Linked DNA regions of Arabidopsis thaliana. The protein of the gene in region 1 interacts with the protein of each later gene in a pairwise test. Each region holds a gene or a part of one and is shown on either strand. Other genes may lie near its edges. The genes, in order: ARF22 and PAP2.

Evidence for each region.
Region 2: the proteins of ARF22 (region 1) and PAP2 interact in a two-hybrid assay, tested with the Arabidopsis thaliana proteins (one large-scale study listed by BioGRID).

Annotation. Positions count from the first base shown.
Region 1 is NC_003070.9:12,549,337-12,565,808, forward strand, and holds ARF22 (auxin response factor 22), read left to right. Parts: upstream 1-6,668; coding exon 6,669-6,717; intron 6,718-6,793; coding exon 6,794-6,912; intron 6,913-7,124; coding exon 7,125-7,220; intron 7,221-7,316; coding exon 7,317-7,373; intron 7,374-7,469; coding exon 7,470-7,607; intron 7,608-7,685; coding exon 7,686-7,770; intron 7,771-7,861; coding exon 7,862-7,952; intron 7,953-8,031; coding exon 8,032-8,196; intron 8,197-8,306; coding exon 8,307-8,420; intron 8,421-8,509; coding exon 8,510-8,582; intron 8,583-8,655; coding exon 8,656-8,794; intron 8,795-8,898; coding exon 8,899-9,311; intron 9,312-9,398; coding exon 9,399-9,586; intron 9,587-9,676; coding exon 9,677-9,746; downstream 9,747-16,472. Other genes in the region: STOP1 (C2H2 and C2HC zinc fingers superfamily protein), read left to right, coding at 1,666-3,165; AT1G34380 (5'-3' exonuclease family protein), read right to left, coding at 3,503-3,602, 3,699-3,921, 4,035-4,269, 4,395-4,538, 4,622-4,963. UniProt on the Arabidopsis thaliana protein: Auxin response factors (ARFs) are transcriptional factors that bind specifically to the DNA sequence 5'-TGTCTC-3' found in the auxin-responsive promoter elements (AuxREs). Could act as transcriptional activator or repressor.
Region 2 is NC_003075.7:14,315,996-14,331,758, reverse strand, and holds PAP2 (phytochrome-associated protein 2), read left to right. Parts: upstream 1-6,397; 5' UTR 6,398-6,545; coding exon 6,546-6,967; intron 6,968-7,071; coding exon 7,072-7,325; intron 7,326-7,405; coding exon 7,406-7,547; intron 7,548-7,691; coding exon 7,692-7,753; intron 7,754-8,056; coding exon 8,057-8,094; 3' UTR 8,095-8,463; downstream 8,464-15,763. Other genes in the region: AT4G29070 (Phospholipase A2 family protein), read right to left, coding at 8,724-8,851, 8,999-9,650; emb2726 (elongation factor Ts family protein), read right to left, coding at 10,444-10,728, 10,803-11,127, 11,223-11,629, 11,705-11,997, 12,093-12,299, 12,671-14,015; AT4G29050 (Concanavalin A-like lectin protein kinase family protein), read left to right, coding at 14,838-15,763. UniProt on the Arabidopsis thaliana protein: Aux/IAA proteins are short-lived transcriptional factors that function as repressors of early auxin response genes at low auxin concentrations.

The DNA.
Region 1 (16,472 bases):
AGAAGTGAAATAGATTTTATCTTCATCTGAATATAACAAAAATATATTTTTTGGGAGTTCAATATAAAAGATGAACACTCGAAGATGTAAATTTTAATATGAACTATGTCGAATATTATTATTTTCATGAGATTAATTCTCACGACTGTGAAACGTACAGTTTAAAATTATTTAGCTATGGCAATTCTATGAAATTTATTCTGGTTACTCACAAATTTTAAATAAATATGGTTTGATTTACAACAAATTTAGTAATTTTTCTTACATTTATCTCTCATTACTCCAATTTTGAAGCAAAATGTTTGTTGAACTCATACTCTCTTCGTTTTAAAATAAGTATTGTTTTGGGAAGTTAAATTTGTTTCAAATTAGTTGTCGTTTTATATTTTCAATGCATCTTTTTGATAAATTTTTTAATTTTTTTAATTGTTTTAGATGATTATTTAATATTATTAAATAAAATAACATATTAATTAGGAGTAACACAATTTTTATTTTTAATTTATGTGTAAAAACCTTTAAAAACAACTAATCCAAAATAGAAGGAGGATATGATAAACATCACCTTTATAACTATTTTTCCACCAATTCGAACATCAAAATTGTAGAAGATACAATGTTGTTGTTTATAAATTGTCAAATATCTAGTTGAAATAAAACAAATATTTAATGCACACAATATTCAATATTTGAAGTAGCCAAGTCAAATAAGCAAAAATGAAGTGCATGGACAGACAGAAAGAGAAAGATAATACGAATAATAATATTTAAACTACGACCAACTATAGCGTAGACCCCACCCACACCTCTCTAAATCAACGGCTGCGATACACCGGTACTGTTCTTGATGCGATAAACGCATATAAACCGTCGGATCTGATTTTACTTATAAACGAACGGTCGATGATTAGGTTGACTTACTCTAATCACCTCGTAATCAATTATTTTTTCTCATAAATCAACGGCTCTAATGCATCGTTACCATGTTCAATGCGATAATATGGTTTTGCACCGTCAGATCTGATTGATACCGATCTTTATATAATTTCAACGGTTGAGATTAATGGGTTGACTTTACATAGGGTAGATCAGAAAGTGGAGAGCACCCCAAAGCTAATAAACATGAGCCCCGCTCAGGCGCTGCTTCCTCCTCTCTCTCTATCATCATCATCATCACTTTCTCTATCTATCTCTCTTCTTAAAGCGGCCATTGGTGCTCTCCAAGTTCCATCTCAAGCTTTTCTTCTTGTGGGTGATTCAATCTCTCTCTTTCTATTTTTTTTTTCATTTCTGTTGATTTAGTGATCTTTGATTTGTGAAACTTTGTTTTTATCGTGTTTGTTTTTGATTTAGGGTTTTATTTTGTTGTCGGCGAGTTTTGATTTGATGATTTTGATGATTTTTTTTTGTTTGACCGTTTGGTTTTTGGATCTTAAGAGTTATGTGTGAAGATTTTTTTTTGTTTGTTTGGGTGAAGAATTTGTGTTGATTTCGATAATTTTGAGTTTGATTTTGAATCTTAGTAATGAAATTTGATTCTGTGAAGTGTGTATGATGAACTTTGAGCTGGTCCTAATTCTGATTCTGATAAAGATTTGATTTTTATGGTTTCTTTTGTAGGTTTTGTTGTTCTCTTAATTGAAAAACAAGATCTTGAACTAAAAAATGGAAACTGAAGACGATTTGTGCAACACCAATTGGGGAAGCTCTTCTTCGAAATCGCGAGAGCCGGGTTCATCAGACTGTGGGAATTCGACATTCGCAGGTTTTACGTCCCAGCAGAAGTGGGAAGATGCTTCAATCTTGGATTATGAGATGGGTGTGGAGCCTGGATTGCAAGAGAGCATTCAAGCAAATGTTGATTTCTTACAAGGTGTTAGGGCTCAAGCGTGGGATCCAAGGACGATGTTGAGTAACCTTTCTTTTATGGAGCAGAAGATTCACCAGCTGCAGGATCTTGTTCATCTTCTTGTTGGTCGTGGTGGGCAGCTTCAAGGTCGTCAAGACGAGCTCGCGGCTCAGCAGCAGCAGCTTATAACGACGGATCTTACTTCCATTATCATACAGCTTATTTCAACTGCAGGTAGTCTTCTTCCATCTGTTAAGCATAATATGTCAACAGCTCCGGGTCCATTCACTGGGCAGCCCGGTTCAGCCGTGTTCCCTTATGTAAGGGAGGCTAATAACGTTGCTTCACAGAGTCAGAACAATAACAACTGTGGTGCTCGAGAGTTCGATTTGCCTAAGCCGGTTCTTGTTGATGAGAGGGAAGGTCATGTTGTGGAGGAACATGAGATGAAAGATGAAGATGATGTGGAAGAAGGAGAGAACCTTCCTCCCGGTTCGTATGAGATATTGCAGCTTGAGAAAGAAGAGATTCTCGCACCGCATACTCACTTCTGCACGATATGTGGCAAGGGTTTCAAGAGAGACGCGAATTTGAGGATGCATATGAGAGGGCATGGAGATGAGTACAAAACAGCAGCTGCTCTGGCGAAACCGAACAAAGAATCCGTACCCGGGTCTGAGCCGATGCTGATCAAGAGGTACTCGTGCCCATTCCTTGGTTGCAAACGTAACAAGGAGCACAAAAAGTTCCAGCCTTTGAAAACGATTCTATGCGTGAAGAATCACTATAAACGCACCCACTGCGATAAAAGCTTCACTTGCAGCCGGTGCCATACCAAGAAATTCTCTGTCATTGCAGATCTTAAAACCCACGAGAAGCACTGCGGGAAAAACAAGTGGCTTTGTTCCTGTGGTACAACATTTTCAAGGAAAGACAAGTTGTTTGGTCACATAGCTCTGTTCCAGGGACACACGCCTGCAATCCCTCTTGAAGAGACAAAACCATCAGCCAGTACATCTACTCAGAGAGGGAGCTCTGAAGGCGGGAACAACAACCAAGGAATGGTTGGCTTCAATCTTGGTTCTGCATCAAATGCTAACCAAGAAACCACACAGCCTGGAATGACTGATGGGAGGATATGTTTTGAGGAGTCGTTCTCACCAATGAACTTTGATACATGTAATTTTGGAGGGTTCCACGAGTTTCCGCGACTGATGTTTGATGATTCAGAGAGTTCTTTTCAAATGCTTATTGCGAATGCCTGTGGTTTCTCGCCCAGGAATGTTGGTGAGTCTGTTTCAGATACTAGTCTCTAAGGCATTGCCATATATATGATAAGTTATGTAAGATGTTCTAGTTTTTAGCCTTTTAAGCAGTTCTTTTGTGTCTGTAATTTTGTTTTCGCCATAATAATAATATCAGAATAGCAGAAAGTTGGATTCTTTTTTTTTTCTTACTTATTATGGTTCATTTTGATTTAACCAGCCATGTCCATAGTGATAAACAAATTTAGTAACAAACTGCACATTTTGATTCATATCTATGGAAGTATATAACAAAATCAGATATGAACTACAATGTCTAAAATTACTTTCAAGCTCACAAAAACTAGCTATCAGCTAAAATGCGAGAGTGTGCTTTAGCTTGTCAGTATCATCCATGCAATGTTGAGAAGAAGCTTGACAATACTTCTGAATCATTGCTTGTATCTCTCTCCATCAGCCATTCATTTTGAATCTGTACCCTCACATCTCTATGATACAAAAATGATTGAAGAATCAGCAAGAATATCTTACAAGTGATGCATAATCAATCAAAATGAAGGGGTTTAAAGTGATAAAGAAAGAACCTATTCAAGGCAAGAACTTGATAGTTTCTTCTCAAGTAGTCTGCGTATTTCGTAAGGGCCTCTTGAGCATATGGTCTCCCCACGGTTCTTACAGCTGCTGCGCTTAGTAAACTCTCCAGAGAACCATGTTTTCTCACAAGTTTCATCGCTGTTTTCCTTCCAAACGCCGGGACCATGTGCTGAATCCCCGGAACTCCATCAACTTCATCACCCATTATACATCCTATCACAAGAACCAGCCGGATTGAGTTGGCTTTGACACTTAACAAAGAAAGTTGACAGAAAGACAAGCGTCAAGAGACATGTTTGTAGCCATAAGTCGATTTAGGCACTTACGAAAGCTCAAATCAGACTGTGGATCACAATTATATTGAGCATGGTAGTGCTTCAAAGTATAAAAGGACCATCTTCTGAGATCTGCCAATGGAATGACAATCTGAACATTTTCTGAGATCAACTGCTTAAAGTCTTTATCAGGCGATGCAATAACCGCACGATATCCTCTTTGCACAGCTTGTTCCATTAGCGTAGCTACTACATCGTCTGCTTCATGCCCTTCTATTCTAACAACCTAACACATAAACAAGAATCCAGTAAGATCATTCATTCACTTCTACGGCTAATTCACTTAACTATATACACGCTACAGAATTGAGCTAGTCTATTGAACATTGAGTATTAAACAGTTTTACCCACTGGCACATTGCATTTTCTAAGAACTTCATCAACAAACTGATGTGGCCTCTTAGAGTATCTCCCATGATTTGGTGATTTCCTATGAGCTTTATATGAAGGCAACAATTCTCTGCGTCGTTGGTTACCTTCTTCTCCATCGATAACCTACAAAAGGAACTATCTTTCATTGATCGAAGAAGAGAAAAAGCTTGCGGAAGAAAGAATCAAAGAAAAGGAGAGATTTTTACAGCTATGACAGGATCAGTGAGGCTGACTTGAGAGAAGAAGAGTGAAATCCAGTGACCAAAAGCTTGCGAACTGGGTTTGTTTCCTTCGTAGCAAAGTGGACTAACGTCTAAGAAGAATACCCTTTTATTCTTCTTCCTAATTTCTTCATTGTTGCCACAGAGAACATCTTTCTGAAGAACTTGCACATTACCTGTTCGATGAAATGTCTCAACGGAAGAGTGAGAAGAAAAGGAAGAGGACGAGGAAGAGACCCATTTCGTTCGTGAAGGTTGTGTCTTGTCGATGGATTTAGTTGAGAAGGAGAAGAGAGAATTGGGTTGAATAAATCCTACTGTTATCATCGTCGTCAACCTCTGCGTATGTTCTACAAGAATACAAGTCAATTGATCAAATATCCCATAGTCGTTTGTTATTAGTTCAGAGATTATTATGTTTTACGTAATGGGCCTTATAATGGGCTCTAAGAGTGTAGTCTCAATGATAGCACTAGCATCACCATTGTTGTAATTGGTCAAATTTCTTTTCTCTTTTCATTTCGATTTCCTCTCATATATAATTTTAAAAAGGATTGTTTAGATCGATCATCTACATTTTTATTTATAAATTATAATCTAATTTTTCTAGATTAGATAAGCGTTCATATAATTAGTTTTTAATTAATGTGTAGTTGACAACAAATAAAATTTTAACTCTCACAAGAATAAAAAATTTACAAATTAAATTAAGTAAGGTAAACTTATTGGATCAAATAAATCTATACAAATAAAAATCGTATTTTTTTTTGTTGTTGTCTGACTAATGTGTTATAAGTTTTTTTTTGTGGGTGTTATATTTACGGATGTCAAGTTGGTTAAACCAAATCCAACCAATCTATATCCATACAAATTTAATTTCTAATGGATAATGAGTCAATCTAATTCATTTAGCAAATACTTTGGATAAAACCATAAGTCATTTAAATTATTGAATTAATGGATAAATAAGTTTATTCAATTAATAACTTTTCTATAGATGATAAAAAAAAATATTCTATAATCTAAATAATTATCATTAATAGTAAATAATAACTATTATAATCATCATCATACTACCATCATCATTCGTGATCATCATCACTATTAATGATCATCTGATCACCATCATAAATCATGATCATGTTTTTGGTGAAAATATCACTGAATCACATTTTGAAAGAAAATTACGAAGTTATATTTTTGGCAGAAATATAAAGAATTACTTTTTTTTGCGGAAAACATGTTTTAGACGGGAAAATCATTGAACACATTTTGGCGGAAGATGCGAAATCATGTTTTTGACAGAGATACAAAATACGGAAACACGTTTTTGACGGAGAAGCAAAATAAAAGCCATCAATATAAAACATAGAACAAAATGCTTAGATGACATTCGGGTTGAGAGGCAACGAGAAACCCTTGTACATTTTTGATGGAACTCATCATATTATAATCCACACCCCCTTATAAGGCCAAATCACAACCACCACCGGGAATCCACCCCTGATGCCAAGGACATCCCAATAGCCATGGGATACATGCAAATTCACATCACAACTAAATGGAAAGGGGAACATGCCCTTGGAAATTTCTCCAAATATCGACAATATATACTTATAGAACCCCGGTTTATAAGGAATCCTTATAAACTTATAGAGGAAGCGAAAAGAAAAATCTAACATGAGATGTACCATAGATCCCATATGAAAGGTCTGATCACGGTGTAAGTATTAAAACTGTATTATATTACTCAACTTATATATGAATAAAGCATATGTTGATTTTGGTAAGTTAATGATTTTCTTATATGTAGTCAAAATATTAATGACATTTCTCTAAATTACTTTTATTAATTTTTGGTAACCTTATTAAATTTAGTATTCAAATCTAAGAAAGTATTTTAATACTTCTTACCTATAAATGTGATATTCTGTGCTCTCATGGTCGCGAGAGAAGTTGAGGAAAGAGAGAAAGTTGTATAATAATTGTTGGGATAACATATTTTGGTATACCGATCTTTAGATACGAGCTTATGGAAAGTGGCAACATTGTGAATGCACAACCTGAATTATCAGGCATAAGTAAGAAATTTTGACTTTTTATTTTATTTTAGTGAAAACTTGTTTTGGTTATAATGTTTTAGTTTTTGTTCGGCAGTTGATGGATCCAAGAGTTATATGTACGAGCAGTTATGGAAACTCTGTGCGGGGCCTTTGTGTGATATTCCAAAACTTGGAGAAAAGATTTATTACTTTCCTCAAGGCAATATAGAGCTTGTGAGTTCTCTCTCTTTTTTTTTTTTTTTTTTTTTCTCTCTCTCTCTCTCTCTTCTTTCTCTCTCCCTCTCTTCTCTCTCTCTCTCTCTCTCTCTCTCTTTCTTCTTTCTCTCTCCCTCTCTTCTCTCCCTCTTCTCTCTCTCTCTCTTCTTTCTCCCTATCTCTCTCTCCCTCTCTCTCGTGTATCAAAACCTTTTGACGACTTTTTTCAGGTTGAGGCATCTACAAGAGAAGAGTTGAATGAGTTAAAACCAATTTGTGATCTTCCTTCTAAGCTTCAATGTCGTGTTATTGCTATTCAACTTAAGGTATATCTCTATTATGTTTTACCGAATACGCATGATATATATTTGATTTCATTGTAAAAATAAGTAATTGGTTAATTGTTTGATGTTTGATTTTAGGTGGAAAACAATAGTGATGAGACTTATGCTGAGATCACTTTGATGCCAGATACAACTGTAAGTGAAAATTTAGTATTTCTCTTTTATTTTCAGTTAATTCTATTTTTTCTCTTATTATAGCTGATTGATTTTCTGATTTTGTTAAATGTTTAGCAAGTTGTAATCCCTACTCAAAATGAAAATCAATTTAGACCATTAGTTAATTCCTTTACGAAGGTTTTAACGGCCTCGGATACAAGCGGTGGATTCTTTGTTCCAAAAAAACATGCCATTGAATGTCTTCCTCCCCTGGTATTTAATGTTATAGTTTTTTAAACGAATTTGAATTTTAAACTTTCATTAGACATTACATATTAAATTTTGGTTTAGGATATGTCTCAGCCTCTACCGACACAAGAACTTCTTGCTACAGATCTCCATGGTAATCAATGGAGATTCAACCACAACTATAGAGGTAATAATTCCTTTTATTCATATAATTCAAACACAACTATTGAGGTAATAAATCCTAGAGAAGTAACTAATAATCTTCTTATCCCATGCAGGTACACCGCAAAGACATTTGTTAACAACTGGTTGGAATGCATTCACAACATCAAAAAAATTGGTTGCAGGGGATGTTATTGTATTCGTTAGGTATATTATTGGTTTTTTTTATATAGGGATCTTTTGGTTCTTGAGTTTTGGATTTTAAACTATTTACTTGTGGTTTCAGGGGAGAGACTGGAGAGTTACGAGTTGGTATCAGACGAGCAGGACATCAACAAGGGAATATACCTTCATCAATAATATCAATAGAAAGTATGAGACATGGGGTGATTGCTTCCGCAAAGCATGCTTTTGATAACCAATGTATGTTCATTGTGGTTTACAAGCCAAGGTAATTCAAAGAACCATTTGAACTCACTTTTAAGATTATATTGATTTATCAATAGATTAGTTCCTTCAACATGTAGGTTTATATATTTTTTGTGTCTTTATAAGTATCAGATCAAGTCAATTTATTGTCAGTTACGACAAATTCTTAGATGCTGTGAACAATAAGTTCAATGTTGGTTCAAGATTTACAATGCGGTTTGAGGGTGATGATTTCTCTGAAAGAAGGTAACATTAGATGAAAACTTTTTTCTACTTAAATATATTTGTAATGTTTAATATTATCTATGATAACACATTTTGTTCTATTGATTAAGATATTTTGGGACAATTATTGGAGTTAGTGATTTCTCTCCTCATTGGAAGTGTTCAGAGTGGCGCAACTTAGAAGTAAAATTTCATTCACACTTTAAAACATCATTTTAGGAATACGTTTTTGAATGCAATAAATTTAATCTTGCAGGTGCAGTGGGATGAATTTGCATCATTTTCGAGACCTAATAAAGTGTCACCCTGGGAGATCGAACATTTAATGCCTGCGTTAAATGTTCCGCGACCATCTTTGCTCAAGAACAAGCGTTTACGAGAAGTTAATGAAATCGGTATAAAAAGAGACTCTTATAATCTTTTATTTAAAGAATTAATCTTCTATTTAATGAATTTGAGATTCTTAAATACCTTCTCAATATTCCTGTTTTATATACAGGTTCTTCATCATCACATCTCTTGCCTCCTATATTGACACAAGGACAAGAAATTGGCCAACTAAGCGTGGCCTCCCCGATGAATATTTCTCTCACTTATCGTGATACAACTGAAGATGTTATGAATCCTTCTAGATTGCTAATGAGCTACCCTGTCCAACCAATGCCCAAACTAAATTACAATAACCAAATGGTTACACAAATAGAAGAAAATATAACAACCAAGACTGGCACTAATTTTAGGCTGTTTGGAGTCTCACTGGTCACTCCTTCAGTGATCAAAGATCCCATTGAAGAAATTGGCTCGGAGATTTCGAAACTTACTGAAGGAAAAAAGTTTGGTCAAAGCCAAACTTTGAGATCACCAACAGAGATCCAAAGCAAGCAGTTCAGTTCTACTAGAACTTGTACCAAAGTAAGTATAAGATCAATATATTCTTATTCTTTATATATGAAACTTTTTCTCATTGTACTCAACTCACGCAATCTTGATATGGAACAGGTTCAAATGCAAGGTGTAACAATAGAAAGAGCTGTGGATTTAAGTGTTCTGAATGGATATGATCAGCTAATACTAGAATTGGAGGAGCTCTTCGATCTCAAAGGCCAATTACAAACTCGCAACCAATGGGAAATAGCTTTCACAGATAGTGACGATGATAAGATGCTTGTTGGAGACGATCCATGGCCGTAAGTTTCTTTTCTATTTCTATCGATTGAAAGATTAGTTAAAATCTTGAGAGACGTTGATATTTCATTTTTTGTGTTGTTTGCATATAGTGAATTCTGCAACATGGTGAAGAAGATATTGATATTCAAAAGAGGAGGTCAAAAACTTGAAGTCCAGTAAGAGTCTCTCAAGTTGAATTAAGAATCAAAACATATGTAATAAAAGGGGTCGAAAATGTTACCGGTGTCTTGTCCTATTTTTATTTTTCTCTTATTTGTTGTTGCATGCATTTGTCTTATGTACTTTTGTTTCCATCGTCCATAAATAAAATAAAATTCCCTTGTTGTCGTGATATAGAGCTTTCTTTCTAATTCATACAATATACATATCACATCTACATTCTAAAAATTTGAGTGTAGTATTTTATTTTATGATATTTTGAAAAGAAAATTGTGTAACACGAAGTATATAGTCATTCAATAAATTAAAGATTTTACTCTACCTATTATTGTACTTGCAAAACCGGATATTTTAAAGACATAAACAAATGATACTGCTAAATATGTTTATATTTTTAGTAAATATTTCCTTAAATCTATCACTACAATTGTGTCACCACTCACAACTAGTTAATATATATATATAAATTTATGGGAAACTTGGGAATTCGGCCAATTCATATTCAATTAAAACTACTAAATCAAAAAAAGTATTGTGTGAGTAGATATTTCAACTGTCATGATTAAGAAAAATTTATAAATAAGGAAGTAGAGGCAGGAAAGATATAAAAAGTTATCATAGATCGGGTGTAACGGCATCACGAGTATTCAGATTTTGGTAAAGAGTTTTTTCTTCATTTCACATGCTTGAATTGTATTAAAACAGTCAATAATGTAGATTTTTTTTGGGAGATTAAGGAATAACATACTACTATGTGTTTGTTGCACAAGAAAATATACTTTGTGATTTGGAAATTTAAAATGTAACTTATATGAAAAATCAGAAATGTAAGCGGTTTTATGGTTATAAATATGGACAAAATTGATAATGTCAAGAAGAAGGAAGGAAGAGAAAAGGAGGGAGGACCAAATTGTATATTTCTAACTTAAAATATATTTTTTGGGTGAACAGAAATTAATATGAATAATCACTCTTGTAAAAATAAGTTTGGTTGCATAGATGCGATATATTTGTTTAATAAAAGTTTCAGTTTCTATATGCAAGAGTACTACAAAAAATAATAAAACATTCTATTTTCGAATGCATATAGTAAGTTTTATTGCATTCGAGTAACGAACAAATAAAATCATATTCAAATATACGTCATTGTTTGTACATAACAAAAAGTATAAAACACACTTGAACATATCGATAATGGTAGTAATGCATTTATACATTTTAAAACATCTTTGTTATCGACAGAGAAATTTTGAATATCTTTTTTCCCATATATTAGTTTACTAGTGTTAAAACTCGTATTACGTACGGCCCAAAATATATTAAACCATTTAACAAAGATAGAAATGTTTAGATGTTTAAACATTTAACAATACGATTTAATAAAGTCGAAAATGTTTAATTTTGATATATTGATGAATGGTGATGAAAAAAATGAAGAGTAAGCCAAATGGTTTGGAGAAAATCCCAGCCGAGTCTTTTGTTTCTTTAGCTTGTATAATACAAAATCTGAATAATTGGTGTGATGCGAGTAATGGCTTGACGGGAATCCACTTGGTGCGAGTAGAGGAGTCTCAATGGTATATGATCACTTGTAAAAGACCTAGAGAGCCTGCCAAATCAAAGAGAACTTTGTTAAAGATAATAAAGCATTCCAAAAACCGTTGTAAACAGTGAAACAACATTGTAATTTGTATAAATGATATGATGAAAAGAGATATACCCTTCATCGACTATGATTGAAATATGTATATAGCATATGAAAAACCATAAGAAATAAAGAGTTGGAAGTTTGAAAAGATTAAACAATTTCTTGGCTACTTAATAAAAAAACCAGAAATATGATATGAAACATAAGTAAATGGAGATGCAACAAACCTGCAAAATTGATAATAAAAAATCTGTTTAGGGTTGACCATAAGAGAAGTGAATTTACCTTCAAATTTGCTCTTCTTCGAAAATGTTTTGTGCTGCAACAAAGGATATATGCATAACTTGCCATTGTGTTGGAGTGAATGGTGTTTAAGAAGATTCATCTCCATGGTAATGTCATAGATACTGAAAACGTAAATATAAAATTCATTATTCTGAAGACTAAGAAAAAATGTGAAATAGATAATTTGATGAGACTTGTGATTGATGAAACAATGATGAACAAAGTGAAAGCAAATTTGTGAATTCCGAATGCATAATTTGAAAATCGAAAGAATTTAAAATAGAGAATTTGATGAGACATGCAATTGATGAAACGATGATGAACAAACCTAAACCATAATTGAGAAATACAAAAAACAAAACAAAATTGTAAACTGCAAAAAGAAGATGAGACATGCAATTGATGATACCCTAAAATCAGAACATATTATCAGGATTAATAATTTAGGTCCCTCCATAGTGAATAATCATACATTTTTTGCCAACAGTTTATTTTCCTTTGTCTTCTTTAGGCTCATCTCCTTCGTTTTCTCCCTTCTATTTGTTTTTGGGATAAAAATTCAAGGTCAAGGATATTAGACCTTTGATCTTTTATTCTTTTTTGAAGAATTTAGATGTGAAACATGAGTAAAATCCATAGGCATCTTCAACTGAGTTGACAAAAATAAAAGAAAAGAATATGACTAATCGGCATAGGATGTAGTGACAATTGATGAGGAAATTTATAATTGGAACCAGAGAATCATAAAACAGTTCAACAATTACCTGGCGAAGGAGAGAAATATTGATTAGAAATTAAAGTGAATTTATTGGAGTTAAATAGAAGATGAATCAGTTACAAAGTAGCTTGAACCTGGAGGTGTTAGTGGGAGCAAAATTAGGAATTAGAATTCTTTTTACATTTTTTGGAGATTTTATAGGACACGATAGTCGACATATGAGAGATAAAAAGAAAAAAAACCATGTAGAAAACTAAGAATTAGGATGGGCAATTGGACTTAAAAAAATTGTGATGGGCTTACAATGTATTTTTTCTGATTTCACGTAGCCCAATTTTGTTAGGCGGAGAATTGGTTTTTCTTTCTTTTGAGGCTTTTTTTTTCTCCACGATCTCAAAGTATTTTGTTTAATTCCTTTTACAAAAAATTAATTGAAAAATAAAAATCTAGGTAGCAAGTTTTTACTGGTTTAGTGACTTGTGCTTTATAAGATAAACTAGATTTTAACCCGCGGTATACCGCGGGACAATTTATTTTTTAAAAGTAATATATATTAAAATTTGTAAATTTTATCTTTATAAAATATTTATATTTTACAGTTTATAATTATTATTAAGTAAGGCTATACCACGAATCTATGAGACAATTGTTACAAAACTGAAGTTGTAACCCCTATTAAAACAGCATATTAATAATATTTTAAAATTTTATAAATATTGATTCAAATACATCCACCATATAACTCAATTCCAAAATAAAACCCGTTCTATAATTTCTTTACCCGTCCTGTGATTTGTTTTTTAAAGTAGTAATTTTTAAAATTTAAGAATTATTTTTTATAAATAAAAGTTTTGCAAATTATATCATTCTCTAATACATTTATATTTTATATATGGTAACATTATACATACCACATAACATTTTTGGTTTTATATAATCTTTTCTAAATTAGGATGATTTGATATGTTTAATATTAGTGGTCTTAAAAATAATAAATTAAAGATTTAACCGTATTGAAACGGTGTATTAATTATATTTTACTTTTTTATTAATGTTGATTCAAAAACCCGTCACTCCAAATCCGTCTTGCCAAAAAGCTATTTATTTTATTAATATTAATTTTATTAATATATGACTCTGAATTATAATCTAAACATTTTAGCTAATAACATAGGAGTATACCATTTTTATTTAATAGGGGAATGTACCATATGACCCGAATGCACTTTTACCCAATTCCACCAAAAAAGTCTTGCAAAAATACTATAGAGATAAAAAATGATAGTCGGTTTTGATAGGTATAAGATTAGCAAATATATTAGTTAGCTTAAATTAGTTAAAGAATACAAATTGAAAAGGTATATTACACTTTATTCGAATATAGTATCAAAACTTATATAACACAGAGATTTGATAAATTTTTAATTGTTGAATACTTTTTTTGTGCTAATTTTTATGTGATTAAGATTTAATTTAAGATTTAATTGATTTTGTATATAAAATATTAAAAGTAAATTGTGAGTTGTATATGTTTTGTTGATATTATCTATATTGTTTAGTGTTTAAGATTATACACTTGTAGTTTGATTGTTAATTTAAGAGTTTTACCTGTAGTATACCATCTTGTATTAATATCGATCTAAACCCGTCAATTCTAGGATTTTCTAGCTTGTATTAACAATTGAATTACATCATACACATAAAAAAATCTAATATGTTATTAATTATTGTAGTATATAAGATTATAAATTTTCAATATAATATGTATGAAATTGAATATAAATATTTTAAATTATAACTCGTTACTCAGTAGAAAATTTTCTTAAATCTATTTTTCATCCGTTATAATACTTTTTTATGTATTGAACAGTTTATATTCGTTTTCAAAAATTCAAATTATAGCATATGCGAAAAAACTCTAATTATTTTTTTATAATGATGATATTATTTTTCGCAAAAATAGAATCATATAAAGATGAGAAGTGAACTATAATAATTAATAAAAAATTAATATGATAATTTAGATATCAAATCTAATTTGTTGATTTTAATAGGTTACTTTTTTGGAAATTAATAATGTATTTCGTTTTTCTAATTAAATTAAATTAATTAAAATTTAAATATCAAATCTTATATGTTGATTTTGATTGGTTATTATTTTTGAAAATTAATAATATATTTCGTTTTTTATTAAATTTAATTAATTAAATTAGTAATTGATTTTATTATCCTTAAAAAGATAAATTAATTTACTCTTTAAAATTTTATTTCTAATGGCATACCTATGTAATTACTTACAAAAAATAAGGTTATATTTAAAATGTACTTCCCAAATAATATAGAAGGATGATTTTTCAGTAACGGTTTATATTTAATATAATTATGGATAATATGAGCATTTACCATATGACTAAAACTTTCATGGTGAGTGTAGCTGTCAAGTAGCCTATTCAGCACGTTTTTTGAAAGATCTAAAACATGGTACTGACTTGCCAAATAAAAGGGATACAATTATTTCGTTTAAAGTGTCAATTTCTTTTATAGTGGTATTTTCTGATTCATCAAGCAACCATCGACCAGTTCTAGCACTCAACACTAGTCATCTACTACGAAAACACCAATGAGTGAACTAACACCTTAATCATATTTTTACATCCGTGAAAATACCCAACCCATAACACGTAAATACACTCTACCCACAAACCAATGTATGAACATTCATGAACTCCATAGTAAGAATTCGAGAATCATTGGAGGTGGTTCAATGTCCCTCTTACCTTCTTTATCGGCTTCCTTCTTTGTGACAATGAGGGCTCTCAGCAGCTTAGTCTCATTTCTCTCCCAAAACATTTTCATTCATAAATGTTACACTCCTATTTATAGGGTCGGGTCTTACTCGTCCATAAACTCTGATTTTCATTTTCATTGTATTATACTTTCAGTATCGTTTTCTTTCTTGATTATGCATTAATTATTAATTCTTTTGCCTTTCATATACCAACATAACAGTTTATAAGTTATCGGCGTTCATTTCAGGATTTTATCTTGTTCTTAAACAATTATTTATGATTTTAACTGATAATTGGAAACACATGTAACAAAACGTCACAAAGTATGGTGACTATCTACTTACCCAGTTGATGATTATTTGTTTAATGTGTGTGTTTTTATCATATATTTGCTCGTATTAGTTTGTTTTGATATTTCTTTTGGTGCTCTATCAAGCTTCGACGAGCTTGTGTCTCTATCTTTTATTTATATATCCTCATATACTTTATTTTCCAAACTTGCTATTTGGGGTTCTCCGAATATAAACAATCTTCTTATATTTTTCTAGTTTGAATCAAAAAGTTGGTGCACAAAAAAAAAATTATATTTAAAAACTATATATTAGTTGGGAAGTAGATAATGTTATTAAGTGAAGTGTCTTTTTAATTTTATCACTTTATTTACAAAAGAAACATCCTTTTCATCTTTTAAGTCTTTCGTATCTTCACTTAGTTATGTTATAGTTAAAGAACATATCATATATACATTTTTGTTTTTTTAAGGATACGTAAGTGTTTTCACGCCCGACCTGGACTGCCCGGTTCGACCGATTTACCCGCAATCTAGATATATTTCCGGTTTGGGGTTAGTGCTAATACCCAACAATTTCAAACCCGAGAAAATCCACAAAAACTCACCATTCAACCGTGACCCGGTGAACCGTTTGAACCGACCGGGTCTGGGTTTTAAAAAATTTATTTGATTTTGGAGTAAAATATAGTATTTTAAACTCTATTCAGTCATTTTTAGAAATATTTTTACTTCTTAAACTTATTTGATGTTTTAGATTTTGGTAAAAACTTCACAATTTACTTTTAGAGAATGAATGAAATTGTGAGAGAGACATCCGAGAATAGTTGGTTAAATTCGCGATATTTTATGAAAATATTAGTACTTAGACGCTTTTTGGAAAGTTAATGCAGATTAAGGCACTTAAATAGAAGAAGGCACTTTGCCTTGTTAAATTGTCCAATTTGCCCTCAAACTTATTTTCTCTTTCTCATTAGCAACATTTCTTCCAATCTTC
Region 2 (15,763 bases), on another chromosome or scaffold:
GTCAAAAGCAAATTTTAGAGGTTTTAAAACTTACCGAGTCGTGTTCGTTGTTTTTCGAATAGCTTATACATAATATTTTCATTTAAATAATTATAAAGCCTTTTCAATTTATTTATTTTTGGGTTCAAAATATAATAATTATACTGCGTTTCTAAATTGGTGAATAATATTTGGAGAGGCCGGTGTGTGGGGCCAATGATAAATGGGCTTAAAACAAAAACTGTATTCACACGTTGGGCTTTTTGCACGTGAAAGTGACCGTATCATGTTTTCAGAGACACCGTTGGGCCCACATGTTGGGCCACATGTTACGTGCTCGCGCCCACATCTGATTACTACCTCTTTCAGCTTCATATAGATTAGACAACAATGCTTAATTTTATTTTTCTTTCTCATTCAACATAATTGATGTTTAAAATTTCAACCTTTACATTACAGAAATTTCAATAGTTTAAAAAATTCCTATATTAAAAATTTCCCCTTTTGGATTTTTTTTTTTATGGATAGCAACAAAGTTAAGAGGCGATTTTTTAAAACATTGCATTTATATTTACCAAAAACAAAAATGAAGGACAATGCAGTTTCTTGTTTAGGGTCGTTTTGATCTGTCTGATTTAAATGGCCAGCAATTTTGTGAAAATGGTATGACGTCACTCTATCGTAATTACTGAGGGTCAAACGAAGTCAACCATTGTTTATCCTTTCTTATCCAATTTTAATTTGTATCGAACCCACATATTTAGTATTTACGATGTAACATTAGTCGATTGTACAAATAAATGACCAATATAGTCATTTAGTGTGTCGTCTTGTTTTTTATTATTATTTTGCATTATTACTAGAAATATAAATGTAGTTTCACCATGATAATTTGAAAATAATAATAAGGTCTTTGAGAAAATAGATAAGTTAAATATTGTAATTTGTAAAACAAGAATAATTCTTGATTTTCTTCACCTAACGTAATTTTGTGTATTAAGAAATTATAACAATGGAGAAGACATGCGGTTGACCTATTCCGTCTTGGTGTTTATGAAAAATTGTCTTATATAGGACCCATATATAGTTAAGGCCTCTTATGTCAACCATAATAATCACTCAAGGAATATTACAATAGTTCAAAGTATAATCAAATTTATATGAAAATCTTATTCTTTCATTTTTATCTCTGGACTCTGGCCCTAAATAAAATTCTTCGAATGCTTCAGCTTTCTTTGAAGACCTTTCCCATATTCAAACCAACTCTACAATAAGATTAACATGTTTTTGCATCACTATATCTCTCGTATCTATTGTTTGAATTTTCTTCCTTTGCCTGATTGGCTGATTTATCTTACCTTTTGTCGATAGCCTTACACAAACGCCAATGTCTCTATGTTTTAGTCAATTTATATTAGAAAATCTACCGACACATTAACAAAATATTTACATATAGAGGAATAAAGTCAGTATGATTGCATATGAAAGTTAAATTATAGGCCCTGCATAAAGGAGTTAAATCATTGAGAGGAGCAATGCCAACTTGTATTAATAAATAATAATAATAATAATAACTGTTGACTTGATTAACTCATTTATTAGTTTTTAATGACACGATTACACATCAAGGACCCTTAACCAGTGTTGCCGTCAGGGAAAAAACGAGTGTCCACATTTTTCTTAAAAGAGAGTAACTATTTCTCATATTAATTAAAAATATATGGAAAAGAATTATACCAATAGAAATTTAGTTGTCTGAATGATTGTTTTTTTTTGTCAATTTGTCACCATCTTGATTAATACTCAGTAAGACGATTTTATTTTATTTATTAATATTGTGATTGCGGAAAGTAACATTTGTGTTTATCTCTTAGTTATTAAGTACTTGTTAAGATAGATTTGTGAATTGACTGTACTATTTGCTGTAGTTGACAATTCTTTTTGTTGTTACAGAATATGATTTTTTTCTTCCGCAGAAGTCAGTGACTCAGTGTATGTATGGACGAAAATACAGGAAACTTGTACGTCTTTGCTTCTTTCGATAAGAACATTAAAAGATATCACTGGTAGATTTGATCATATTCTCAAAATTATCAGAGAGTTAGAGACGACAATTTTCTTCCGTTATTTTTATACGTACTTATTGAATATCACCCCTAAGGTTTTAGAATATGATTAATTTCGAATGATATCATTTACTGGGCCAATGAGCTCATATCTTATTGGGCATTTTTGTTAACATATATAAATACAAGAATAGTGCATGGGCCTCGAGCAAAGTGTAATGTTAGGTTTTGACATTATAAGGAGCACCAAAAACATAGTAAAATTCTGTCGACGGATCCATCTCAATCCGTATATTAAACCCCACTAGGCCACTAATAGAAATTGTTTCACTAGATATCAGATCAGTATTGAGTAAAAACTCAAAGAAATTGAAAATTTCACTATTAGCCGATTGAGTTTAAAAGATGGATTACAAGAGATGCATCATGCTGCGTTTTTATGTACACACCATTCTTCATTGCATTTTTCAATAATAGGAATCTAGAGATCATTTGAGAATTGAGGCCGAAATAGCACTGTAGTTTCTGCCTTTTTCTTTATCTAGTTACATTAATTACAAACTTTTCACTAATTTTCCAACAAATTTATCCATCGATCGGTTCAACGTTTTTTCAGTATATATCAAGATCATTATACATTTAAGATTAATAGATTTTTCGACTCAAAATTGTGTGTATATAAAGAAGAAATTAGTATATGAAGTCGTTAAATAGAACAATGTGAATATTCATCATGTGGAAATTGAGCATTCTTTTTCTTCATAAATCTTGATAGTGGAGCGCAATATGCATATATATTAAGCACATACGTAAACCCATATCATTGAGTATGACTTAGAAACGTCGACTCTGATGGACAAAGTCAATCTCCCAATATCAAGCACTTTCTATAATGTAGCCCATACCATATGTATCTTAAAGAAAATCAAATGAATCCCATGATTACAATCTTTGAAATACCTTAAGAAAAAAAGTTAATCTTATTATATAAAGTACAATTTTGAAAGTTACTAACTCACGAGATCATGACACGTGGTTATTTGAACGATTTTAGATTTTGACATGTGTTTGATTTTTTTTTTTACTTTTTCCTAAAAGAAAATAGAAAACTAAAAAACAAAGATATTTATATATACTAATTAATATGTTTATATCTAAATATTTAACTTACAATTTTCTTATCTAAAATATAAAACTAACAAGAAGATGGAGTGTATATAATTAAATTATATAAAAAACTAACAATAAGATGGAGTGTATATCATTAAATTATATATTTTATTATGGTAAAATAGGTATTTAAATTGTATTGCAAAATCGAATTTGTAAGATTGAAATTTGGTTTAAAGAAATACTAAATTACATACTGAAAAAGTATGAGAGTTACGTTACTATTTAAAATTCAAATATCATTAATAAGATGGAGTGTATAGGGACTGCATAATCCGAGTTACTCATGTGTATAGTAAAACTAATCGCATAGTGAATGGATTAGCAAACTATGCGTTTTAATTACTGCTCGGTTTATATTTATTTGATGTTTGTCCAACAGTTGTAAGTCCGACATTGTCAGAGGATATAAACGGGATGTCGTTTCCACAGAGTGTTTGAATGTAGTTTTTATGTTATAAATAACAAAATAGTTTATTATGATGAAATAGATAGTTAAAATATAAGTAAAATTGAATGTGTATGATTAAAATTTTATGTAATATAAAAATTACTATATTAAATATTAGAAAAAGTGTGTAGATTACTATTTACTATATAAAGTTTAAATATTATTGATAAATATTTAAATAAATTTATATCATACATCCGCCTATTTAGGCGGCCTTATCTAGTATATATATATGAGGGCGTGTGTAGAGATTATACTCAGCCACCAAACGATCCAATATTATATATATGTGTGTGTGTTCTATATGTAGACAGCGCCGAAATTAATAACCGCATAAGAAAAACAAAACCGGCAGTTACCATTATGCGGTTTAATTTGATGACAGGTTAAAAAATTATATCGATCTAATTTGATGACAGGTTAAAAAATTATATCGATCTAATCATTTATAGCCATCGGATTGATTCGATATGGTAGGTTATGAGTTATAATGGAGCATGAGGTTCTTGTATGGATGTTAAATCAAGGAGGGTAAGTGGCTTCTTTGTCTAAAGATTCACACTGTCTCTTTGTTCTTTTTTTTTCTTCTTTTTTCGATTACGACACAAACCGATCTTTCACTAACGCTGTAAGTACGGTCGTCCACTGATTTAACATTTTAGGTTTAGTGTAATTCCATTCGATCCTCAACTAACTACATAGTTTTCAATTATAGTCATAATTATTATGCTTGATGAAAAGCAGAAAAAAATGAAAAAACATTAAGTATAACATCAGTACTAAAAATAAATAAAATTATAGTATGTATTTGTCGCTCACACAAGTCTATAAACAAACATTCAAAACCAACATTTTAAGTTACTTAAGCTGTCTCTCGCTAGTATAATTAAACCCTAGAGTTACTTATGATGTCTCTTGTTAATACAGTAAACCCAACGTGGCCATATATAATAATAACAATAATTAAAACCGCCACATGTGATGCAACATCCATATAGATAAGTAAATACTTTGGGTAACTCCAACTAATCTTTAGATTTTATAGCCTTCATATGATTTCTATAGTGATAGACACATTTTTACTAAAGATTCGTATCCTTAGATAGCTTTGTAAGTAACTAATGGCACGATTAGATGGTGAGTTAAGGTGGAATATAAGTTGAGATGTCCCAAAAACGACAAAAACCTTGCCCAAAAAAAGAGAGAGACAAAGGAAAAGTTAAAGAAAGGCACCTTATGATTAAGACACTCGAACTTACACTAAAACACAAATCTAAAAAGCTTTAGATAAGATCCAAAGATGGATCCACCTTAGAGGCAGGCTTTAACCAAATTACTATGCATATGATATTTTATAATACTGCAACTTACAGGTCTTTTTTGTATGTCTTCTTGCTATGTATATACTTATCGTTGTTACAAATGAATGACTTAATCAATACAGCCAAACAATATATAAATCACTGGTAGAATATAAATGACAATATTTCATATACTTCTTCTCATGTTATATTGTTATAGCATCAGATATATTGGTTTAATAAATATGGGTTAAAATATGAGTTGAAACGTTTAAATGTAGATTGAGTCATCCACTTAAAAAATATACTTGGAGATAGATTAGATGGGCATAAATACTATCAAAGTTAAATCTGATTTGATCATTTAAACTTTTATTAATTTAAGACTATGATCCAAGTATCAAAGTTTTACTAATAGGTCAAATTGTAATGTACTGTAGCATATATGCTCGATTTTGGGAAAACATTGTCTGATAAAAATGAAAAGTGGAGTGTGGAGACCACAATTCTTTTTGGGAACACTGCTCAATATTGCTACTGCGGCTAAGTGGCAAAGAGCTACCCCTACTGTTTCTTTCCTCTTTTCATGCTTCTGGTGGACCCAAAAAATGAGAGCCTATGGGCCCAAAACTTTTTCGAGATTCTCTTCTCTGTTCTCACCCCCAAGCCTAAATATCATCTTCCATCGCAATTATTGGCGACTTACTAATAATCTCCATTCGTTAGCTAAACTACTAGTGAATTTATACAAGTTTGTGAAGTTTAAACTCCAATACGTTTGATTTATTATAGAATATGTTATGCTATCATGCACATGATTAAATGGTTCACCGTTATTAGATTATCATTATCATCACTCAATTTCATGAGTAAAGATTGGTTTCACGAGCTAACTTATGAGTTATATCAAATCGTCTAGTGAATCTAAAACATATAATGTTAAGCCAAACTAAACAGAATTAGTGACTCATTACAACATCTCTATACATATATCAAAAAGGAATTGCATACAAAAGCGTATTTTAGATACTAAATCGTTTTGCATGATAGCATAACATGCACACCTTCATGAGATAGCAAATTGTTTTTTTCAAATACAAAAGTAAAAAGTAAAACAAAACGTGGAATACGAGAGTCGAGACAAGGGCATAATAGGAAAGGTTTCAGGACGCTTTCTGTGACCTGTCGGGGAGTAGATGTCTACACAAAACGTAACGTGTATATACAATACATTCATGTGTACCATTTTCTTAAATCAACATTTTGTGTTTAAACCCGCCAAAAGAGGAAAGTACTTACTTCTAATTACGGTTTATATGAATATAAAATTACGTATACTACTTCCGTCCACTTTTGGAAAATAATACGATTCCAAGAAAAAAGAAGATTAAAGGTAAAAAAATAAAAAAAAATAAAGCTCTCTCACACACCTTTTTATCATTTCTCATTTTCACTCACAATTTGATCTCATCTTTAAATTTTTTTGTTTCCCATTTCTCTCAGAAAGTGTTCTGTTCTTTTTTTCTTTTGTAATCACTAAATGCTTCAAAAGTTTGTCCACAATTATATTTGAAAAAAATGTCTGTATCTGTAGCAGCAGAGCATGATTACATAGGTTTGTCAGAGTTTCCAACCATGGAAGCAACAACAATGTCTGACAAAACCAAAACCAGAGACAATAACAACGGTCTCAATTTCAAGGCTACCGAGTTAAGACTCGGTTTACCCGGTTCTGAGTCGCCGGAGCGAGTCGACTCAAGATTCTTGGCTCTCAACAAGAGTAGCTGTCCCGTGTCAGGTGCCAAAAGGGTGTTCTCCGACGCTATTAACGACTCTAACAAATGGGTCTTCTCTCCTGGATCCACTACTGCTACTGGTGATGTCGGCTCGGGTTCTGGTCCCCGTACCTCCGTCGTTAAAGATGGAAAGTCGACAACTTTCACTAAACCGGCTGTTCCGGTTAAGGAGAAGAAGAGCTCTGCTACAGCTCCAGCTTCAAAGTAAGCTTTTTTTGCTCTGTTTTAGATTTTTCTCAGCTTTTTTGCTCTGTTTTATGATTTCTGTGAAGAGGGATTCTTGATGTTTTTTTTTTTTGATTGAGCAGAGCACAAGTGGTGGGATGGCCACCAATAAGATCATTCAGGAAGAACTCAATGGCTTCTTCTCAATCTCAGAAACCTGGTAATAACTCAGAGACTGAAGAAGCAGAAGCTAAGTCTGGACCAGAACAACCTTGCTTGTATGTCAAAGTGAGTATGGAAGGTGCTCCTTACTTGAGGAAAATCGATCTCAAGACTTACAAAAGCTACCTTGAGCTCTCTTCTGCTCTTGAGAAGATGTTCAGTTGCTTCACCATTGGTAACGTTTTCTAGTCTCTCCTTCTTTGAGATCAATACCAGTGATTGAGTTAACTGTTTTCTTTTGGTTCCTTTTTTCAGGTCAGTTTGGTTCTCATGGAGGGTGTGGCAGAGATGGGTTAAACGAGAGTCGCTTGACTGATCTCTTGCGTGGTTCTGAGTATGTTGTAACCTATGAAGATAAAGACAGTGACTGGATGCTGGTCGGAGATGTCCCTTGGGAGTAAGTCTTTGATTTTTAAAAGATCAATCTCAACAATGTAAATTAACATCAAGTATTAGATCATATCTAATGATCTTAGCACAGTTTTAGCTTAACAGAAGAATATAGATCAGTGAAGCTCTCTTACTGTTTTTTCCTCTGCAGAATGTTTATATGCTCCTGCAAGAAGCTGAGAATCATGAAGAGCTCTGAGGCTATCGGCTTAGGTTAGTATTTCTTTACTAAACCCTAGTTTAATGTTCCACACCCATGTGCTCGATTTTAAGATGTATTAGAAAGGTGGTCCATTTTGAACTAAGACACCCTTCTAATACTTTCATGGTTCTTAAGCTTCTCGCTGGATTCTATAAACATTCTGAAGCTAAAGAAATATATTACTGGAGAAACTAAAACGATGCAATTTAGTCCTTTCCAAGCCTCTTAAACACTAGGAACTTACTGCACACTACTGTACAAATGAAGAATACACAATGATTCATACACAAATCTTGCTTTTTCTTTTTTTGCAGCTCCAAGGGTGATGGAGAAGTGCAGAAGCAGGAACTAGGAAAAGCCCTTTTATGTGATAATATATGATTTGAAAAAATATGTTTTTAAGAAATTGAATAGCCATTTTGTTTTGAAGTATTCTTGTGTGTTTGTGTGCTAGGAGTGATGTTTGATCTTTCTTAAACCAGCCTCTACTAAGCTCTAATAAGGCCTCTTCCTCTTACTTCTTTCTCTAATCAATCTAATGAAACATATGGGTTTGTGTATGTGTGTTTGCCAAGGAAGACTTCATAATTCATATGTATAAAAGTTTTGGTAGTGTGTAAACCGGATGTGGTTTTCATTGTTATATATGTTTTGGATGCAAACTTTACTATAGAAAATAGTTTTTCTAGTTCATGAGTTTCCATGAAATGAAGTTATAATGATCCTTTGATAGAGCTTATATCATTCAAACAAAAGACTTCAAAAACAAGGGTTTATTACTAGACATGTACAACGGGTTTACAAGACGCACAACACTTACTAGCGTTTTCACATCTTCATACTAAACATATATATCTATACTACTAAAGAACCTAATCCTCAGATTCCTTTCTTTATGACTTCTATGTACAAAACGAAAGTGAAGACACCCACAAAGGCTTACCGGGATGACAGAGTACCTCCGATATACTTCCTTATGTCTCAGTTTTTCTGAAAACTCCAGCTTCTCTTGCTGAGGTTGCTCACTATCCAGCCAAAGTCGAGTAGATTTTGCCCGTATTGTATCTTCACAAGGTAACTTCTGTAGGGTATTAGTATGCTCTTGAGACCTGAAAGCATTCGAGATAGATGGTTTCAAGATACATCAGTACATCACCAAATGGAAACGGCCATTATCAAATATTACTACCTGAATAATAAGGTAAATTATGAAATAATCCCACATTGATATAAAAGCATAAGGAGATTGTAGTTACCTGTAATGCACATTGTTTTGTAAAAGTGAGCAACTTGAGCATCTCCCCTAGTAACTACACGCTTGTTTGATTCCAAACACTCAAGAAACGCCATGTCAGCTTTAAGCAACTCTGCCTGGTCATGAGTATCATAACCAATATCATGGCAATAACAGCAATGATCTAACCAATCAATAGGTCTCTGATCCCAAACCATCGAACCTCCATCTTTCCCACTAGACCAGTTAGGTCCACAATAATGTCCATATCTCGGGAAAAGCTGTGACAGAAACGCCCTCGTCCCTGTATGCCACGGAACCTTAGACACATAAGGTCTAAACCGATAAACAGTATTCACACCATTTGATCTTGATGACCTCCGAGAAAGAGCATGCCTTTTTAACCCTCTGTTGATAGTAGTGGGTTTCTGCTTACCATCAGAGGCATTTGCAGACCAAGGAAGAACTGAACTGAAGGAGGACCAAGTCCATATCTTTATATCAAATAAGCCTTTCTCTTTCTCTGGCTGTTTGAGAAGAAAGGTTGTTGCTTTCTCTTGCTCTGGCTGTTCCAATAGAGAAGTTGTTGTTGGTGTCACGGAATCAATCATAGCTACATCTTTCTTTGTGCTGATGCTACCAAACCAAGATATACTTGGCAACCCAAAATTCATCTGTAAACAACAAAACAGTGCATGCAATGACTTCAGCAATCAAGTGTGATCCAGACAAAAAGGGAAGATTTTTATCTTTTCAAATTGGGAAAATTTCGAAATTGCGAAAGATCAATACTCAAAACCCTAGAATTGACTAGTAAAGAAGAGTAAATCGGATCTCGAAAATAACAGAGAAGGATAATTCGAATGAGCTTTTGCATTGAGAGATTGGAATGTTCACGAACCTGAGCTTGAGAGACGCTACGAGAAGAGACAGACACACGTTTTCGTTTTTTTTTTCCTTAGCAAATGACAACCTCGGAATATCGTTCGTTACTTTATGTCTTTATCTATCCCTAAATTTTATTGGGCTCAAAATGGGCCGACCGACCTTTTTTAGCCCACAAATTATAAAAGGAAAAAAACATTATTGTAGTGTATGTAGTAATTCGGTCGGTTTGATTTTTATATTTAGATATAATATCCAAAAGGAAACAAAAAATTATTTTATTTAGTTTCACTTCTTCAGGGAAATTCATTTGAAACTTCTATTTAAAATAAGGTTTAAAATTTCATTATAACCAATCTTTCTCCGAATTTAGTGTATAATGTCACATTGTCACTAAATGCACATTTATATAATGCAAATCTCATATTTTCATGAACAAAAAATTACAGGTTTTGATTAAAAACTAATCAAAATGTGAATACTGAAGATTTTGTCTACAAAACAAAAAGGAAGACTTTTACTTTAAACTCCATGACACAAAACAGAGCTCCCTTATTTGAAAACTTTACTTCGTCTGTCTCATCAGTTATCTTCTCCAAGAGTAAACTTCACAAACCTTCTGACTTTGATGTTTTCCCCAAGAGTAGCCACTGTTTGCTTCACCAGATCCTTCACCAGAACACTGTCGTCTTTGATGTAAGGCTGCTCAAGCAATGCCCATTCTCCAAGCCTCTTTGAGATTCTTCCTTCCACAATCTTCTCCCTTATGTTCTCTGGTTTCGACAAAAGATCCTCTCTTTGCATCTCAATCTCTTTTTCTTTCTGCTTTATCTCCTCTGGAATGTCCTCTATTGAAACATATTGCACCTGCACGTAGACATTTCAGGTCAGAGACCAACAACCAATTTATGCCATTGTTTCAGCTGAGGACATTTTCTTACCTGTGGATTAGCCACTGCTTGCATTGCAAGATCATCAACCAATTCCTTGAATTTTTCGCTTCTTCCGACAAAGTCAGTCTCACAGTTCACTTCTATCAGAACTCCAATCCGAGAATCGTGGATGTACGAACCGATTCTCCCTTCTGATGCAAGCCGGCTTGATTTTTTATCAGCTGATGAGAGACCCTTCTTTCTGAGGAATTCTTGTGCTTTCTCAAGATCTCCTCCTGTCGCCGCCAATGCCTTCTTGCAATCCATCATTCCAGCTCCTGTCTCTTCACGCAGTTGCTTTACAAGAGCAGCTGAAACCACTGTAGTTGGTGGGCTGCAGTGCCGTATTGCAAAAAGTTTGAATCTTTCTATAGCCAACATTATAAGAATTCATGTCAAGAAGAGCAAAGACTATAAAAAATTTCTCACCTTGCAACAGCTTCCTTGGCCTCTTCAGCTTTTGGCTCTTCTTTAGCTTTCGGTTTAGCTGCAGTTTGGGCAGCAACCTCAGCAGCAAAGTCCTGGCTTTTCTTCTCAAGGCCTTCTCCGAGAGTGTACCTCACAAATCTCTTCACTTTGATGTTTTCTCCAATGGTTGCAATCCTCTGCTTTACAAGATCCTTAACTATCACCTTATCGTCTTTAATGTATGGTTGCTCAAGCAATGCAAGTGAATCTAGCCTTTTCTTTATCCGACCGTCCACTATCTTCTCCCTTATTTGTTCCGGTTTCGACAAAAGATCTTCCTTTTGCATCTCTATCTCTTTTTCTTTCTTCACAATTTCTTCTGAAACATCTTCTGTTACAAGATACTCTACTTGAGGACACGCAGCCACCTACATGTCAGGTCAAATTATATTCTCAGTTATAGCAAAACGAAGAAAATGTTTCAGCTAGAAACTTGGAGTTACCTGCATCGCCAGATCATCAACAAGTTCCTTGAAAATGTCGCCACGTGAGACAAAATCAGTCTCACAATTAACCTCCAAGAGGACACCGATTCTGCTGTCGTGGATATAAGCACCAATTCTTCCCTCGGATGTGGCTCTGCTTGCTTTCTTATCTGCGCTCGCTAGTCCCTTCTTGCGGAGGTACTCTTGAGCTTTGACCATATCGCCCTCACTCTCTGAAAGAGCATTCTTGCAGTCCATCATTCCTGCCCCTGTTTCTTCTCTCAGCTGCTTCACTAGAGCTGGTGAAATGCCTGTTACATTTTTGTGTTAGGAGATGGAATCTCACATAAACCATTAGGTCATGAGTCAGGAAGTAAAACAGGTAAAGGATGGACAAAAGAAGGACCTTTGATGCTTTCAGCAGTAGCGGTGTTGCCACTTTCCTCAGAAGAAGCTTCTGTGACTACAGGTGCAGGAGTCTTGACTTCATCAACAGGTGTTTCGGCAACCACTTGCTCCTTCTCAACCTCTTCACTTGCTAAAGCTTCTGGAGATGAAACTTCATCAGTGGCTGAGTTTGGAGGAATAGAGTTCTCAACAATTTCCTCTTCACCTGGTCACCGGTAGAAGAAAAGGGTCAATGCTAGTAATCATTACACAATGAACTAAAATGTCTTTATCTTTGTGGTCTTATATGTTTCTTATCACCTTTTGCTCCATCAAACAAAACTTCATGAATTTGATTATTCTGGATTTTTTTAGAACACGTAGTTCATGTGACTATTTATGTGGTTAAGGTCTCTACTATAATTTGGAGTATCCCCAACGCTTTAGCTGTATATGTTACCTTGGATAGAGTTCTAAGATACAAACATTGTATAATCTTTTTAAATGATTCTGATAAACTGATACTGATCATAATAAACCAATATGAGAAGTAGCACACAAAAAAAATTACAATCTAGTGATTTTTAGTCAACTTACTTTTGGTTTCTGGAATTGGAGGAACCACCTCTTCAGCTTCAGCTGCTGCAGCAAGTGTTTCCGTTTGCTCTTCTTTTTCCGGCGAATCATCTTCAGCTTTGGTAGCTATCACTTCTTCTTCTACTACCTTGGGAGTTTCTGACGAGGGAACCTCTTCACTTGTTACTTCAGCTGGGACACATACCGATTCCTCGACTTCAGCTGAGGTGACAGAGGCTTCAGCTTCAGGCTCTACTGGTGTCTCAACAGGTGGCTTCTCTGCCTCTTCCTCCCTCTTGTCAAGAAACGCAGCAATCTCTTCGTTCTTACGGAAAGCAAGCATAAACGGATTTGTGGCTGTATGCACAACTCCCTGAGTGGTTGTTTCATCAAACTTACCATCATCTTCCTCTTTCATTGTTAAAGTAACACGTCCCCTTGCTATCCTCAACACACGAACCTTCACCTCTTGTCCAGCTTGCAACGAAGAGCCACCCATCATCATGCTTCCAATACCATCATCTGCTTCCTCAGCCGTCGGTAAAAACCCTTCTTCGCCTTCTCCTATAGTTATAAACGCTCCTGACCTCGTTAAATTCTTGACCACTCCATCCAACATCTGCCCTTTGGCAAACTTTGAGTTAAACCCTTCTCCCTTCCTCTGTCCTCCTCCTTTAGAACCATCCCTTTTCCCTCCTGATCTCGGCTTATCACTACCACCAGACTGACGCTTAGGAGGATCATCATTCTCACGCATAGTTAAAGAAATACGTTTTGACTCAATGTCAGCTTCCACTAGCCTTACCTTCACCTCTTGTCCAATAGTGACAACACTCGAAACATCCTTAACAAAGTTGTCACTCAATTGAGAAACATGGACTAATCCATCAGTAAAAGCACCAAAATCAACAAAAGCTCCAAAAGGCTGAATAGCTCGTACTTTCCCAGTGAAAGTAGCTCCAGGAACCAGCTCCTCGTTCTTAACCGCAGGCATCTCACTCTTCCTTCCAGGTCTTGCTGTTCCCCTTGACTGAGATGTTGGAGCAGGAGCATCTGACTTCTCACTAGCCACGGTTTCTTTATCCTCCGCAACAACAGGAGTAGAATCTTGTTCCTCTACAGCCGCCACAACATCAGTCCCAGTAGCTCTACGATGAGGATGCAACACAAACTGCCTTCCATGTGTAGGAAACAATCTAAGTGAAGTCGACAAAGGTAACACAAGTCTCTGCGTTGATGATAGAATCTGTTTCCCAGCTTTACGCGAAAAGCTACATTTGATGGAACAATCACTCTTCTTTACAGTAAAAGAAGCTCCAGGAATGAGCCAGGCATTGCTAATAGAAGAAGGTGTAATCGTAGCCATAGCTAAGAACTGTCACCTACACATAGAAAACCATTACACACTGTCAAAATTACAAGCTTTCCTCAGACAACAACACAGACTAATCTGAAAGCATATGAAGAAAAGGACCACTCTTTTTCTCAATTTCGAATTGAAATTTCATTGTAGTCTAACTAGAAAAACTCAAAAATTTCCATTAAGAAAGCTAGTAAATTTCGAACCATCTTATCACGGAAACATAAGAAGAGTAACTAAGAAACCCATTTGAGCAAAGCTAAGAAAAGGAGCTACCTTTAAGCTCGCCTATGCTCTGAGAAATTGCTCCCAGAAAGAGTAAAGCGAGAAAAGTCGCTAAGTTTCGGTGAAATGTTCGCGTTTGACAAATAAGCACGAAGCGAAAACGAGGAGAGTGGTGAGAGGCTTCAAATCCTTATCTCATTTTGTCTCTCCCCTGTGCTATTTTTATTTCGTTTTCCCTCTCTTGGTGGATAGAGGAGATAAGAGTCTTCAAAGATTACTACAGGTGATTGTCTTTTTCTCTCTCTCCTGCGCCATCAAGACTCGAGCTTCAATATGGGCTTACGGGCTTCATACTAAGGCCCATCAATAGCCTATATCGATGTGAAACTCCCCCCCAGACATTACATAGTAGCAATGCCTCCTTTTCATGCTGGTCAATTTCTTAATAAATCAATAAGAGGCGTCGAACAAGACTTATTCAACATTTTATTACTAAGAGTCTAAAAGACTTTAGTTTTTGACCCTCCAAGTCATACAGATAAAGCCTATTTAGATCTTTTTCATATTATAATCATATGGTTTTGACCAAAAAAAGAAAAACTTATGGTAAGATCATTCATGAGAGGAAAAAAGAATTGCAAAACGATGAAATTTTTTGTACTAGTGCTTCTTCTGGTGCTGCAATTCTTCTCCAACAAAGCACTTTCTCAGAGTGAAGAAGGAGAGTTTGGTTTTAATGGTTACTTGTACGACAACTCTGGAATTGCAATTACTAACTCCAAAGGCTTGATGAAGCTCACAAATTCGTCTGAATTCTCATATGGTCACGTTTTCTACAACTCTCCAGTTAGATTCAAGAACTCACCAAACGGTACCGTTTCGTCTTTCTCCACTACCTTTGTTTTCGCTATAGTCTCTAATGTTAATGCACTTGATGGCCATGGACTTGCATTTGTCATCTCTCCCACCAAAGGCTTGCCCTATAGTTCATCCTCACAATATCTAGGGCTCTTTAATTTGACAAACAATGGAGATCCCTCTAATCATATTGTAGCAGTTGAGTTTGATACATTTCAAAATCAAGAATTTGATGACATGGATAATAACCATGTTGGTATTGACATCAATAGCTTGAGCTCAGAGAAAGCTTCTACAGCAGGTTATTACGAAGACGATGATGGTACTTTCAAAAACATCCGCCTCATAAATCAAAAACCTATACAAGCCTGGATTGAATATGATTCCTCAAGGAGACAACTTAACGTCACAATCCATCCTATTCATCTCCCTAAGCCAAAGATTCCATTGCTTTCTCTAACCAAAGATTTATCTCCATATCTTTTCGACTCTATGTATGTTGGCTTCACTTCAGCCACAGGCCGTCTTCGTTCATCTCACTATATTCTTGGTTGGACCTTCAAGCTCAATGGGACAGCTTCAAATATAGATATTTCTCGTCTTCCAAAACTTCCTAGAGACTCTCGGAGTACAAGTGTGAAAAAGATCTTGGCTATTAGTTTGAGTTTAAC